Linked DNA regions of Sus scrofa. The protein of the gene in region 2 purifies or fractionates together with the protein of the main gene of each other region. This does not show direct contact. Links are inferred from orthologs where the notes say so. Each region holds a gene or a part of one and is shown on either strand. Other genes may lie near its edges.

Evidence for each region. Proteins that work in one complex are often made in the same cells at the same time.
Region 1: the proteins of PSME3 (region 2) and FAM192A purify together in Homo sapiens (affinity purification with mass spectrometry; 4 studies listed by BioGRID and IntAct, counting the BioPlex papers as one, with this or other methods). This does not show direct contact. The link is inferred for Sus scrofa from reciprocal best matches to the Homo sapiens genes PSME3 and PSME3IP1.

What each region holds. Positions count from the first base shown.
Region 1 is NC_010448.4:19,139,493-19,145,473, forward strand, and holds part of FAM192A (protein FAM192A), read right to left. Parts: intron 2,974-5,981; exon of another isoform or gene 2,840-2,973; intron 2,407-2,839; 5' UTR 2,392-2,406; coding exon 2,265-2,391; intron 1,727-2,264; coding exon 1,628-1,726; intron 1,235-1,627; coding exon 1,113-1,234; intron 1-1,112. UniProt on the Homo sapiens protein: Promotes the association of the proteasome activator complex subunit PSME3 with the 20S proteasome and regulates its activity.
Region 2 is NC_010454.4:20,031,405-20,038,065, reverse strand, and holds the start of PSME3 (proteasome activator complex subunit 3), read left to right. Parts: upstream 1-2,719; 5' UTR 2,720-2,720; coding exon 2,721-2,762; intron 2,763-3,255; exon of another isoform or gene 3,256-3,270; coding exon of another isoform or gene 3,271-3,345; intron 3,346-3,447; coding exon 3,448-3,480; intron 3,481-3,603; coding exon 3,604-3,666; intron 3,667-3,861; coding exon 3,862-3,966; intron 3,967-5,167; coding exon 5,168-5,216; intron 5,217-6,150; coding exon 6,151-6,263; intron 6,264-6,495; coding exon 6,496-6,564; intron 6,565-6,661. UniProt on the Homo sapiens protein: Subunit of the 11S REG-gamma (also called PA28-gamma) proteasome regulator, a doughnut-shaped homoheptamer which associates with the proteasome. 11S REG-gamma activates the trypsin-like catalytic subunit of the proteasome but inhibits the chymotrypsin-like and postglutamyl-preferring (PGPH) subunits.

The DNA of each region.
Region 1 (5,981 bases), on a different chromosome or scaffold from region 2:
GGAGTATTTTGGGAAGGTCTCTATAATGTAGGGAGCTGAGATCCAAGTGTCATTAAAATGCTAGCCTTGTAAAATCTGAGGGCAGAACATTTTAGGCTGAGGAAACAGCAAATACAAAGGCTTTAAATGGACCCACAGAGCTCAGTATAAGAACATAACGAAGGCCAGTAGGCCTGGGAATGGCAAACACGAGGAAGATTAGTTCACAATACAACAGGGAAGTGAACTGGCCTCAATCATGCAGAGCCTTGTAGGACCTTGTGAAGAATATAGACTTAAGTCTAAATGCAACAGGAAGTCACTAGTGTTTCAAACAGGAAAGTGATAGGATCCTATGTATATTTTCAAAAGCTCCCCTTGACTACTGTCTGGAGAATGGATTGCGGTGGGGGGAGAGCAGAAGAAAGATAATTAGATGGTCATAGTTGTCCAGAGAAGCCTCTATAATGACTGCGGTGACAATAGAAATAGCAAGAACTGTAAGATTTAGAGCACATTCTGAAGGCAGTTTTTGGCCCAGGTGCCCGGGGGTATAGGAGCACCATCACGTGAGAAAAAAAAAGTTTGGTGGGGGGTGGTATGATGACGGTAGAGGTATTGAGGTATGGAACTGAGAATGTGACTCCGCCAAGTTACACCTGGGATGCTGATTAAGACATTCAAGTGGATGCTAGAAAGGCAATGCTGAGCCAAAGCTAAGTCATCTTGGATGCTTTCTCTACCCTTCTGTGGGGACACACCAGGCTACATCTATAGGGAGAGTTGCTAAACATTTCCTTTTAAAACTTAGAGGCCAATTTCTCCCCTGGATGAAGTTTACTGCGTTGCCCATCTGTCTCAGAGTCTAATTCCACAAGGCAAAAATACCCTGGTACTATTAGGATTTAGGCCTTGAGCTAATCCTAAAGGATTTAGATTTTTGATTTTGACAGATTCTTGCACACAGTGTAACTCTATACATCACTGCCAGTTATTCAGAGTCATAGGAACATCAGTGTCAAAAGGGAACTTACAGATCACCTGGCAGAAGACCCTCATTCTACTTATGAAGACACTAAAATTCGTAGATGTTGGTGAGAAAACTAACAACTTTCTCAAAGTACAAAGGATATTCTGTATTCCTTCAGTTCTTTCAGCTCTTCTTCTCTTCGCTGCTTTTCTATTAGTTCCTGCTGCCGAGAAACCTCATCAAGGAAGTTGGTCTCATCTTCATCTAAGCCTCTTACCATGTTTTCTGAGGGAATAATTAAACAAGGAACACTTAGCAGGCTAAAGAGAAAATACAGTCCAATAAGATTTTTTTTTTTAATAAACAGTGTATCCTTCAGGGGATTAGAAGAAAGAATTTGTAAACACTGTGGCTTTTGGAGAGATAACCTGGCATAAAATCAAGGCTTCTCTCCCACTACTAGATATTAGCATAGAATTAAAATAGGCTTCTTGAGTTCTAAACAAAATGTTCTTTGTAGTCTAGATGGTACAAAGTTATCTCTTTTCCACCAAATGAGCTTCTAGAGATTAGATAATCAAGACAATTCCATGGCTAGTTAGAAAGTGTTGCACGAGGCAAAAGTGCACCAAAAAGGCCCTATACAGTTGCTTGGATGCTGTGTTTTTTGAAGCTTACTGAATTTGAACTGTTCCTCATACTCCTGCTGCTTCCTGTCCTTCTGTTCCTGTAGCCTTTCATATAGAGAGCGAGGGTCATAAACCTCCTCTGGGCATTCTGAAAGAAAGAGGAAGGGAGAGAAAGGGGGCAGGAGAAAGGGAGGGAGAAGGAAAAAAAAAACCAAAACATATACTTTAGAATACTTTCATATTCTTTTGGAGCCACAAAGGATTTTTAAAGATAAAGTCAAGTCTCTGCACGATCTGATGGCAAAGATAACACAAAAATAGTTCAAAGTCCACAGCTACCCTTTGGACCTCAGAGAGGGGCCAGCAGTTCTCAAAGCCAACTATCAATGTCAATAGGCCCCGGCCTGAGCCGGTTAACTGGATGAGGCACCCACCCAAACCCAACATGGTAGCAACACTCTCAGCTGTTCAGAGCCTGGATCCACCTGTATAGATGGAAGAGACTAGGGGAACCTCCTGGAAGACAGTGTGATAGGTGCAAAGGGCAAGGATGTGAGGATCCTGGGGCAGCTCCCAGCGACGGAGCAACTCTACAGCAGAATTAATGACTTAATGAAGACGTGAATACCTACTTTGCACAGGATTAAAGATCACTATGTTGAATGCCAGACTATAAGCCTATGTACCTTCTGGATCTTCAGGTTTTCGAACTTTCTCCCATTCTTCTTGCCTCCTTTTGCGCCGTTCATCTAGTTCTGCCTCAGATACAAACCTCTTTTTGATAACAAGGTTACCATCATCCCCTCCATCCATAATGGAACAAGAAGTCTACAAAAAACAAACAAAATATTTCAAGTGAGAACTGCAATTAAAATTACATAGAAACAAGAAGATTGAGCTCTGTCTTCCCCCAGCAACAGACTACTCAAATTCCTTTCAACCCTGAACTAAAGCAGTCTTCAAATAATTTACAGGTAATTGATGAAAGCACATGATTACATTTTCCTCGTGTATCAGATGGTTTCATTAACCATCTATGTTATCTTCAAAGTCACCGTGAAAACTTAGAGTAACTCTCATGATAGGCCATTCCAAAGAAACTCTTACATCCCAGATTTTTCTCTGTCCCTTTCATCTAAACAAATTGGCCTCCTGAGCTCCATATCTTTTTCCCAGTTCTTATCCTCCATTATTTCTATAACATCTGACATTGTTCCATCTCGAAATTCCTATTTCAGGGACATGACACTACTTTACTCACCTGTACCTTACTTCCAAGTAGATTCAGAAAGGAGAAACGCAGGTATTCAAGGAGGCTTAGAGATGAGTCTAGTCTGTTCAACAGGGAAGGGATACACCTAGAGGCACTCAAACCACGAGTGGATAAAGTGGAGGCTAGAAGAACCAGATCGCCTAAGTTCAGGTTCAATGTATTCTGCCCTCTGCTAAACCGACACCTCCCTTCATCTCTTCCTGTCCTTCCTCCCTGTAAACTCCCCATCGGTGCCACTTAGTATTCTATCCTCAGTCTTTGTCTTTTTTTTCATTCCTATAATAACCTCAGCCATTTTATGCATATGTTGATGTAGAAGACTCAAATCCCTGACTCTTCCTTTAGAAAGGAGGGGAGGGGAGTTCCCATCGTGGCGCAGTGGTTAACGAATCCAACTAGGAACCATGAGGTTGCGGGTTCGATCCCTGCCCTTGCTCAGTGGGTTAAGGATCCGGCGTTGCCGTGAGCTGTGGCGTAGGTCGCAGACACGGCTCAGATCCCACATTGCTGTGGCTGTGGTGTAGGCCGGCAGATGCAGCTCCAACTGGACCCCTAGCCTGGGAACCTCCATATGCGACGGGAGCAGCACAAGAAAAGACAAAAAGACAAAAAAAAAAAAAAAAAAAAAAGAAAGAAAGAAAGAAAGAAAGGAGGGGAGAAGGAAATAAAGACAGAGGCATGTGTATGTGTATTACTTCTTTTAAACTAAACCTTCCTGCTTTTCTTTGCTGGTTTCTTTCCTTTTGAAGAACTGTGGAATTAACTCTATGTTAATAATAACTCATACATTATGAGCTATTCGTAGAAATAAATCCTAACAAGGAAGCACATATTCTACACTACTCAATGTCTATTCCAAGATGACCCCTAATAACAAAAAAAGAAGCCTCTACTGCTAGCACAAAAATGAATTAATTACCATTTACTCTCTTACTACCTACTAAATACTTTAAATGTATAGTATCTCTTTTATGCTCATACTGACCCTAGATACCATCTCTTTACAGCTGAAGAAATGGAGGTCCAAAAAAGTTAGGTCACTTGTCTAAGGTGATAAAGGTGGTGAATGATGGAGATGAGAATCAAATCCAGGCCTGACAGCAAAAATTCACGCTCTTACCCAGGTGACCATACCCCTCCCTGGAAATCAGGGATCCTGGGTGAAAAGAGTTCAAACTCCAGTGCTGAGAATGTTCATGAAACATTTTTCTCTAGTCAAGACAAAAATGTAAGCTGAGAAAACAAATCCAAACATGCAGAACAAGAAAATAGTCTCAGCTTAAATCCTACTGTAGCTGAAGTCTAGTTCAAGGTAACAGTAAGAGAATTTTTTAATTCACTAGAAAGAAAACCAGATCAACTGACAGAAGCTGTTGCTGCCACCTAAATCCCGCAACCTGGACACTTCTGATTAAGCACTACTCAATGTCTCTAGCCAGAGACCTAGTACAGAAACATAATTGTTTTCGTAATTTTTTGGCTCTGTGACTACGCCAAAAATGCCAAAAATTCAAGTGCTACAGAGTGAACTCTAATGGAAAGAGAGCCAACATTTTCTTAAATGTCTCTGGCAGAAAAAATGTCAACTATGTAGAACTCTAAGGGACAGAAGAGACATACTGGACATTCATGTGCCCTTTCTTAGCTGTAGCTCTCTTTTCTCGTCCTCTATTGGCTGTCTGCTTTCTTCCCCTCACCCTTATTTCCTGGTAAATAATTCAGAACATGACAGGTCCTTATAGCCCACCTAACATGATTCTCCAACTGGCAATGGAACCTACAGTCCATACCCAGGAGATTTTCAACCAATCCTTATTTCAAGATTGATCACTGCCCTCCCTTCCAGGCAGCCAAGCCTCGGAGCAGATCTGACTAGTATAATAGTTCTTAGAATTGACAGAACTGAAATAGACAGAACTGAAATCCATCCCCCTGTAAATTCCACACACAGGTTCGATGCACTGGGACGTACACAAACGGAGCCAAATCCCCTCTTCAGCAGACAATGCTTCAGTTGTTTGAAGACAACTGCCATGTTCCCCCTAATTTGCTCCTTTTCTGGGTCAAACATTACTAGTTCCTTTAATGTTACATAAAATGGAGAAAAAAGCCTCAAAGCAGTGAAATTATCAAATTGCATATGACTTAAACCTGAGAAATAAATATTAGGATATGGCAATGCCACTGGTACGCCATTAAATGCACTGCTACACATTTTTTTTTTTTTTTTCAGGGCCGTACCCACAGCATATGGAGGTTCCCAGGCTAGGGGTCGAATCAGAGCTGCAGCTGCTGCCCTAAGCCACAGCCACAGAAGCTAGGGATCTGAGTTAGCAATGCCAAATCCTAGCTGTGTCTGTGACCTACACCACAGCTCACAGCAACAGTGGATCCTTAACCTACTGAGTGAGTCAGGAATCGAACCCATGACCTCAGGGATACTAGTCAGGTTCGTTAACCACGGAGCCACTATGGGAACTCTTACGCATTTTTTTTAACATGAATATCATTTACTGAAAGAACTCTTCTAACAGGCCAAGATAAAAACCTTGAATCTTACACGCCTCCATCCAAATAAAAATCGGTGTTCCCTGGTGGCCTAGTGGGTTAAGGACCCGGCATTGGCACTGCTATGGCTTGGGTTAATCACTGGCCTAGAAACTTCCACATGCCATGGGCACAGCCAAAAAAAAAAAAAAAAGAATCCAGAGGCTCTTAAGATTTAGTCTTATAACTCAAAATTAAGAAAGTAAAAATTATTTATTTAATTTTATATCCAGTTGAGTTTTTGGAAAAAGAACCTACCTTCATTTAACTTTAACAAAGATCCCTGAAACTCAAGGGACAGAGCCTTTGGGATACATACTTGAAACAGAAACCCTAGAGAAATAAATATCTTCCCAACATTTATCAATCACTTTTGGGAAAAGACAAATTTATGGGATTCCAAGACATTCTTACTCTCTTTTCTACCAATCTTTTTCTCCTAAGTGTTAGAATTCAGCTTCTGCTCAAAGAGTTTAGCCTGTGCTATTCCCCATCTTTCACATGTAAAGACAAAATCAAGAATCATGGTTGGTTAATGAAAATGAAAACAAGGCAGAGGCACATTTTAAAAAGGAAATTTAAA
Region 2 (6,661 bases):
CTCAGTGGCTTAAGGATCTGGCGTTGCCATGAGCTGTGGTATAGGTCACAGACGCCGCTTGGATCCCGTGTTGCTGTAGCTATGGTGGAGGCTGGCAGCTGTAGCTCCAATTCAACCCCAGCCTGGGAACCTCCATATGCTGCAGGTGTGGCCCTAAAAAGGAAAAACAAACACACAAACAAAAAAAACCCACACACAAACTGAAAGTTAAGAGTTAAGTTTTATTTGGAGCAAAATTAGGACTTCAGCCCAGGAGACTGCGTGGGTAGCCTCAGGAGGTATCCCTGAGAAAACTGCTCTGAGGAGGAGAGGGGGGAGCTAGGATATGAGTTTTTGCAACAAAGAGCAGATCGTAGGAACAAAAGAGATCTGCACTCACTGAAATGATTGCTTTGATATGCACCTCAGCTATCCGGGCCAATATCCTGTGTTTTCACAGCCTTAGCTTCCTCAGGGCTAGCTGTTAGGAGTGGCTGCAGTCTGAAGGCCATTAGAGGGCAGGTATTCTTTCCTGAGTTCTTTCAGGGCTCACTGGCTCACTCTTGGAGGTGGCTGCATTTGCAGATGACTGTGACATCCCTTGTTTTGTTGACTTAACTACAGCCCAACTGCTGTAGCTCTGAAATACCGCAAAGAGGAAAGGGGAAATATCAGGATATATGTGATAAAGGGAAGGGGGACGTGTGTGCAGCCACGCACACATTTCACAAAAGTTTGCTTCTGGTCTCGTGAAGATTACTACTAGTCGCGAGGAGCAGACATCACCATGAAGGATTTTAGTTTTCCTAGATACTAGGAAATGCAAGAATTGGGCACATAAAATCTTCTCCTAAAAATATCTAACTGGAGTTCCTGGTGTGACTCTTGGCTTAAGAACCTGACTAGGGAGTTCCTGTCGTGGCGCAGTGGTTAACGAATCCAACTAGGAACCATGAGGTTGCGGGTTCGATCCCTGCCCTTGCTCAGTGGGTTAACGATCCGGCGTTGCTGTGAGCTGTGGTGTAGGTTGCAGACTCGGCTCGGATCCCGTGTTGCTGTGGCTCTGGTGTAGGCCGGTGGCTACAGCTCCGATTGGACCTCTAGCCTGGGAATCTCCATATGCCGCGGGAGCGGCCCAAGAAATAGCAAAAAAAAAAAAAAAAAAAAAAAAAGAACCTGACTAGTATTCATAAAGATGCAGATTTAATCCCTGGCCTTGCTCAAGGGGTTAAGGATTGGGCTTTGCTGTAAACTATGGTGTAGGTTGCAGATGCAGCTCGGATCTGGCATTGCTGTGGCTGTGGCATAGGCCAGCACCTGCAGCTCTGATTCAACCCCTAGCCTAGGAACTTCCAAGTTTCACGTGCAGCCCGAGAAAATAAAAAATAAGAAAGATCTAACTATCCGAAAGACCTATTCTTCCAGTTTTCCCATAGCACAGAGTGCCTCACTCCTGGTTTCCACCCTGAGCTCTGCTTAGTGGGTTCTGCAGGTCAGCAGCTGCCATGGCTCATGGTTTAATCCACGTAGAGGCAGATGGCAAGTAACCGTAAATGCGAAACTCCAGTTCACAAGATTTAACTTACATAAGTGACTCACATTATATTTCTAGCCTCTGAGACACTGCTGTCCCAGAGCCTACTCCGATTTGTTGTGCGAAATAACCAATGCTATAAGACAGATGAATGGGTGAATTAAGACAGACAGCCTGGGGAGTTCCCACTGTGTGCAACTGGTTAAGTATCTGGCCTTGTTACTACAGAGGCTCCATTCCCTGCGGTCTCCAGGGTTCAATCCCAGGCCCAGGAACTTCCACCTGCCTCCGGTGGGTGGGGGGCGGGGCTGGGCGACAAAAAGTCGGGTAGGGGGGAATACAGTCTCCGCCTTCCACGAGGAAAATGGATACAGCATTGCCCTAGAAGTTAGGAGATGTGAGTTCTGGACTTGGATATACTGTAAACACTGTGTAGCCTAGGACAAGCACCGCCAGACTACAGGCATCAATTTGTCCATACATCTGGCACTTGATCTCTGAGGTCTAGGAGTAAGCGGCTAAATGGCAGAGAAAGGCGGGGAAGCCTGGTACAACAGGACTTGTTTCCTATCAGGCTCCAACCTAACATGAGAGCTTGGACCAAGAGGAGGAGACAGCAGGAATCAGAGACTAGACGCCCCGAACCCAGCGCGGGTACCACCGGCTTCCTCGGGCCGACGTCACCGGGGCGCGACGGCGTCTTCTGTCGGGTCCCCCACTCCAGGCAGCAGCGCCTCCGACGGTCCCTTCGGTGAAGGTGAGTGCCGGAATAACAGAGAGGCAAACGGTCCTCGAGTCTCTCTGAGACTCCGATCTCACTCCACCACCCTCTGCTGCCCTCCCTTTTACTTCACCCTTATCGGGCACAGGAGCCGAGAGATAGGAGCAGAGCTACCATCGTTCAGAGCCGAACCTCAGCGCGGCTGCGCAGGGCACGTGCACATCCTCTCGGAGTCCCGGCGATTGGCTGTGACGTAACTTCCGGTGTGAGCGGCGAAAGCCGGGAGGGCGAGCGAGAGAGAGCAGGCAGCAGGCAGCAGGCGGGCGGACGGACGGCACGAAGGGAGGGAGCAAGTGAGCAGTGAGTGGGCCAGCGAGAGCGGCCGCGTCCCGAGAGCAGCCGAGATTCCTCCCGTCCCTCTGACCCTCTCCCCGGAGCCCACAGCGCCTCCGGTCTCCAGCGGAGCGGACACGGCCCGGCCCGGCCATGGCCTCGTTGCTGAAGGTGGATCAGGAAGTAAAGCTCAAGGTAGGGGTACGGTCCGGGCTTCCTTACTCCTTGCTTCGATCCTCGAGCTGTCTGACTGGCTCCCTACTCCCCATGGCGTCTTTGTCTCCCTGGGGACACCAGCCCTGAGCTTCCGCTCGGCTCAGCCCAGCCCCCCACTCCCAGAGATGGCATCGGGGGAGACGCTACTATGGGGTGGCCTTCTGTACCCTGTCTAATGGTGGAGAGCCCCGGGGAGACTTCCGCGGACACGTGGTGGACTTAGTGCTTTAGGCCAGTGACAGCTGGAAGTCCCCCCAGCCCAGCAACGTCCCCATCTCTGGGCGCTGCTACTGCCCCTGCCCTTGGCGTCAGGCCTGCCTCACATCCTAGGCCAGGTTTGTATGGGGGTTGACATGTTTGTGAGCTCACGCCTCTCCCATCTACCTGTCTTTTGTCTGCTTTCAAATTCAGACAAGCTACAGACAAAGGGAGGGAGGGAGGGAAGACAGGTGGGTGCTGCCCTCCAGCCCCGCTTCCCTCTCCTGAGATGGAGAAATGGATCCTTAAAAAAATAAAGTATTTGCAGTCTGGGGGCCTCTCAGCTTCTCATTACAATTACAAGGTGAGGGAAAGACAGTTGGATTTGGGTTTCCCCATCCTGCCCATACTTCTCTTGCCAGGTACTGACTTGCTCTTACTGAATTGCTTTCTTTGTTAATTTTAGGTTGATTCTTTCAGGGAGCGGATTACAAGTGAGGTGAGTGAAAGAAGTAGAAAATCGAGCATTGGTTAATGGTTGGGAGTTCTCCAGAGAAGAGATGTCTGTAGAGACAGACCTTCCCTCAGTTACTAATTCAGCTATATTTTCCCTCATCTTTAGGCAGAAGACTTGGTGGCAAATTTTTTCCCAAAGAAATTGTTAGAACTTGATAGTTTTTTGAAGGTGAGAGACCCTTTTCTTTTCCTCAGAGTCCCCAGTTTTTTTGGCCCTGGTCTTTCTGTCAAATGGGACAAATGACGTGTTGATTCTATCTTGTTTTGTGCTGTAAAGCCGTCTTCATATGTTGCCCTTGAAATGAAATACTTCTTTGTTCATTTTGAAAAGACTGATGTTTTGGGGGTGGGCGTCTCTTTTCAGGAGCCAATCCTAAACATCCATGACCTAACTCAGATCCACTCAGACATGAATCTCCCAGTCCCTGACCCCATTCTTCTCACCAATAGCCATGATGGACTGGACGGTGTAAGTATCCTGTATTTATCTCTGTGTGTGTGCCGAAGCAGTAGGCGCTCTGTCCTCAAGTCTCTGGTCAGCTTGAACGTGTACAGGGGTACAGGGGACAGTGGGATTTGGATCTGGGAATGAGGATTCTTTTTTTTTTTTTTTTGGCTTTTTGCTATTGCTTTGGGCCGCTCCCGCGGCATATGGAGGTTCCCAGGCTAGGGGTTGAATCAGAGCTGTAGCCACCGGCCTACACCAGAGCCACAGCAACGCGAGATCCAAGCCGCGTCTGCAGCCTACACCACAGCTCATGGCAACGCCGGATCGTTAACCCACTGAGCAAGGGCAGGGATCGAACCCGCAACCTCATGGTTCCTAGTCGGATTCGTTAACCACTGCGCCACGACGGGAACTCCCGGAATGAGGATTCTTACAGACATATGACTTTGGTACACCCCCTTCGGTCCCCGGTTTTCATTTGTAGCATGTGTTAATGGGTACTCTGTTAGAGTGAGTTGAAAATAGGGCTAATAGTGACAAGGTCCCTCAGGTTACCTGGTCTGTCACCATGGCTCTAGGCAAGACTTTTCATCCCTGTTTCAGTGTCTTGAGTCTTGTTATGGGAGGGGGCAATTGTTCTTGCTATATAACTGCAGTTCCCCGTCTTTCTGTATCTTTAGCAACTAGTCTTTAGAATATGTCCACATTCTGTTATAACAATGATGACCCCATATTGTTATTTATCTGCTATATATATTGTTATTTATCCGTCGGTGTCTCATGGGTAGAACTTGCACTTTTGGAAAGGAGAAACTATCTGAATTATCTTTGTATCCCCAGCACCTAGCATTGTTCCTTGCAAGTGCTAAATACATGTTTGTTGATTGAATATTCTTTGTGGAACAAGCACATTTGTTTATAATCCCCTTAGTTATACTCACTCTGCATTCAGTAGTTCATTCTTTCTGTTGTTCATAGTATCCACCCCTCCCCTGGTTGCCTAATGTGTTATATTTCTTGAAAAGTTGGTCTTTCCAACTATAGTGTAAGTTGCTTTGTGGGAAGAACCTTTTCTTAAAGCTTTGTGTGTGCTTAGTGAATTGTGGGTAAATTAATAAGACAACCTGTGAAGTCAAGGTAGGGATTAAACTTGCTAGAAGGGTAACTTGCAGTGGGGATGTGAGTGTCGAATAGGCTGATTCTTGTCTCTTTGTATCCTTAGCCCACTTACAAGAAGCGAAGGTTGGATGAATGTGAAGAGGCCTTCCAAGGTAAGAGCCACCTTCACTGTCCCCTACCCCAACCCTTCCTGGCTTGCAGCCCTGAGAAGCAGGATGGATCTGGTGCTCTCCTGTCCAGCAAGCAGGATCTGATTTTATTTCCTAGCATTAGCATTCCTAAGCTCTCCAGACATTGTCTAGTACTCTAAACCTAATTTTCCTTTCCTCTTTTTTTGTCTTTATAGGGCTGCACTCACGGCATATGGAGGTTCCCGGGCTAGGGGTCTGATCAGAGCTGTTGCTGCTGGCCTACACCACAGTCACAGCAATGCCAGGTCTGAGCCGCATCTTCGACCTACACCACAGCTCATGGCAACGCCAGATCCTTTAACCCACTGAGCAAGGCCAGGGATTGAACTCACAACCTCATGGGTCCTAGTTGGATTGTTTCCACTGTGCCAGGACTGGAACTCCGTAATTTTCCATTTAACAGGGAGGGTTGGACTTAATGTGAACTACCAAGGGAGAGGTTGGAGGTGGCTACACATCACAGATTTTTCGCAAAACCCCAGTTCATATCATTTTTTCCTCTTCAATAATGCTTGGTGCGTTAAGTCTGTAGAGCATATTTTAATCTTGTTCTTTAGACTTTCCGGATGTTTTAGACACTCATCTGTTAATCCCCATATTCTCTCTTTTTTTAATTCTGTTGGTGGTGTCACGGTTTATAGATAGCTTTGTGACAGATAAAAGGCAGAAGTCATAAGCTTTTCCTTGTGGCGCAGTGGGTTAAGGATCCGGTATTGTCACTGTTGTGGCTCAGGTCGCTACTGTGGAGCCCAGGATCTTCCACATGCCACAGGCATGGCCAGGAACAAAGGTAGAGGTCATAGTATCTCACGGGTCTAGGAAAGAGAGAAAGGTGGGGAATGCTGCCTCCTTCCACCCAGCTCCAGTCATTTGACCTTCCTCGTGTCCTTGCCAGGAACCAAGGTGTTTGTGATGCCCAATGGGATGCTAAAAAGCAACCAGCAGCTGGTGGACATTATTGAGAAAGTGAAGCCTGAGATTCGGCTGCTGATCGAGAAATGCAACACGGTGAGGCAGGGGCTGATGACCTAGGGGCTGACCCCAAATAGCCTGGCTTGAGCTATGCAAGACAATGGATGTGGGGCCAGAGGCGTGGAGGTGATGTTGGAGTTGGCAGACTAATTATCTTGACTCCTGTGCTCCTGGCATCTGGCCCCAGCAGCATGAGTTGTATATGTCTTGGCTTAAGTAGAAAAGGCTAAGATCCTCATATGCATATTTTGGTCCCCTCACCCTTCAGGTCAAAATGTGGGTACAACTCCTGATTCCTAGGATAGAAGATGGGAACAACTTTGGGGTGTCCATTCAGGTAATGTGCTTGCATTGGAAATGGGAGAGGAAGGTTTGGGAGGTAATCTCATCTCCCCTGCTTTTGTGTTTTCCCTTTCTCTTTGGTTTGCTGTGGG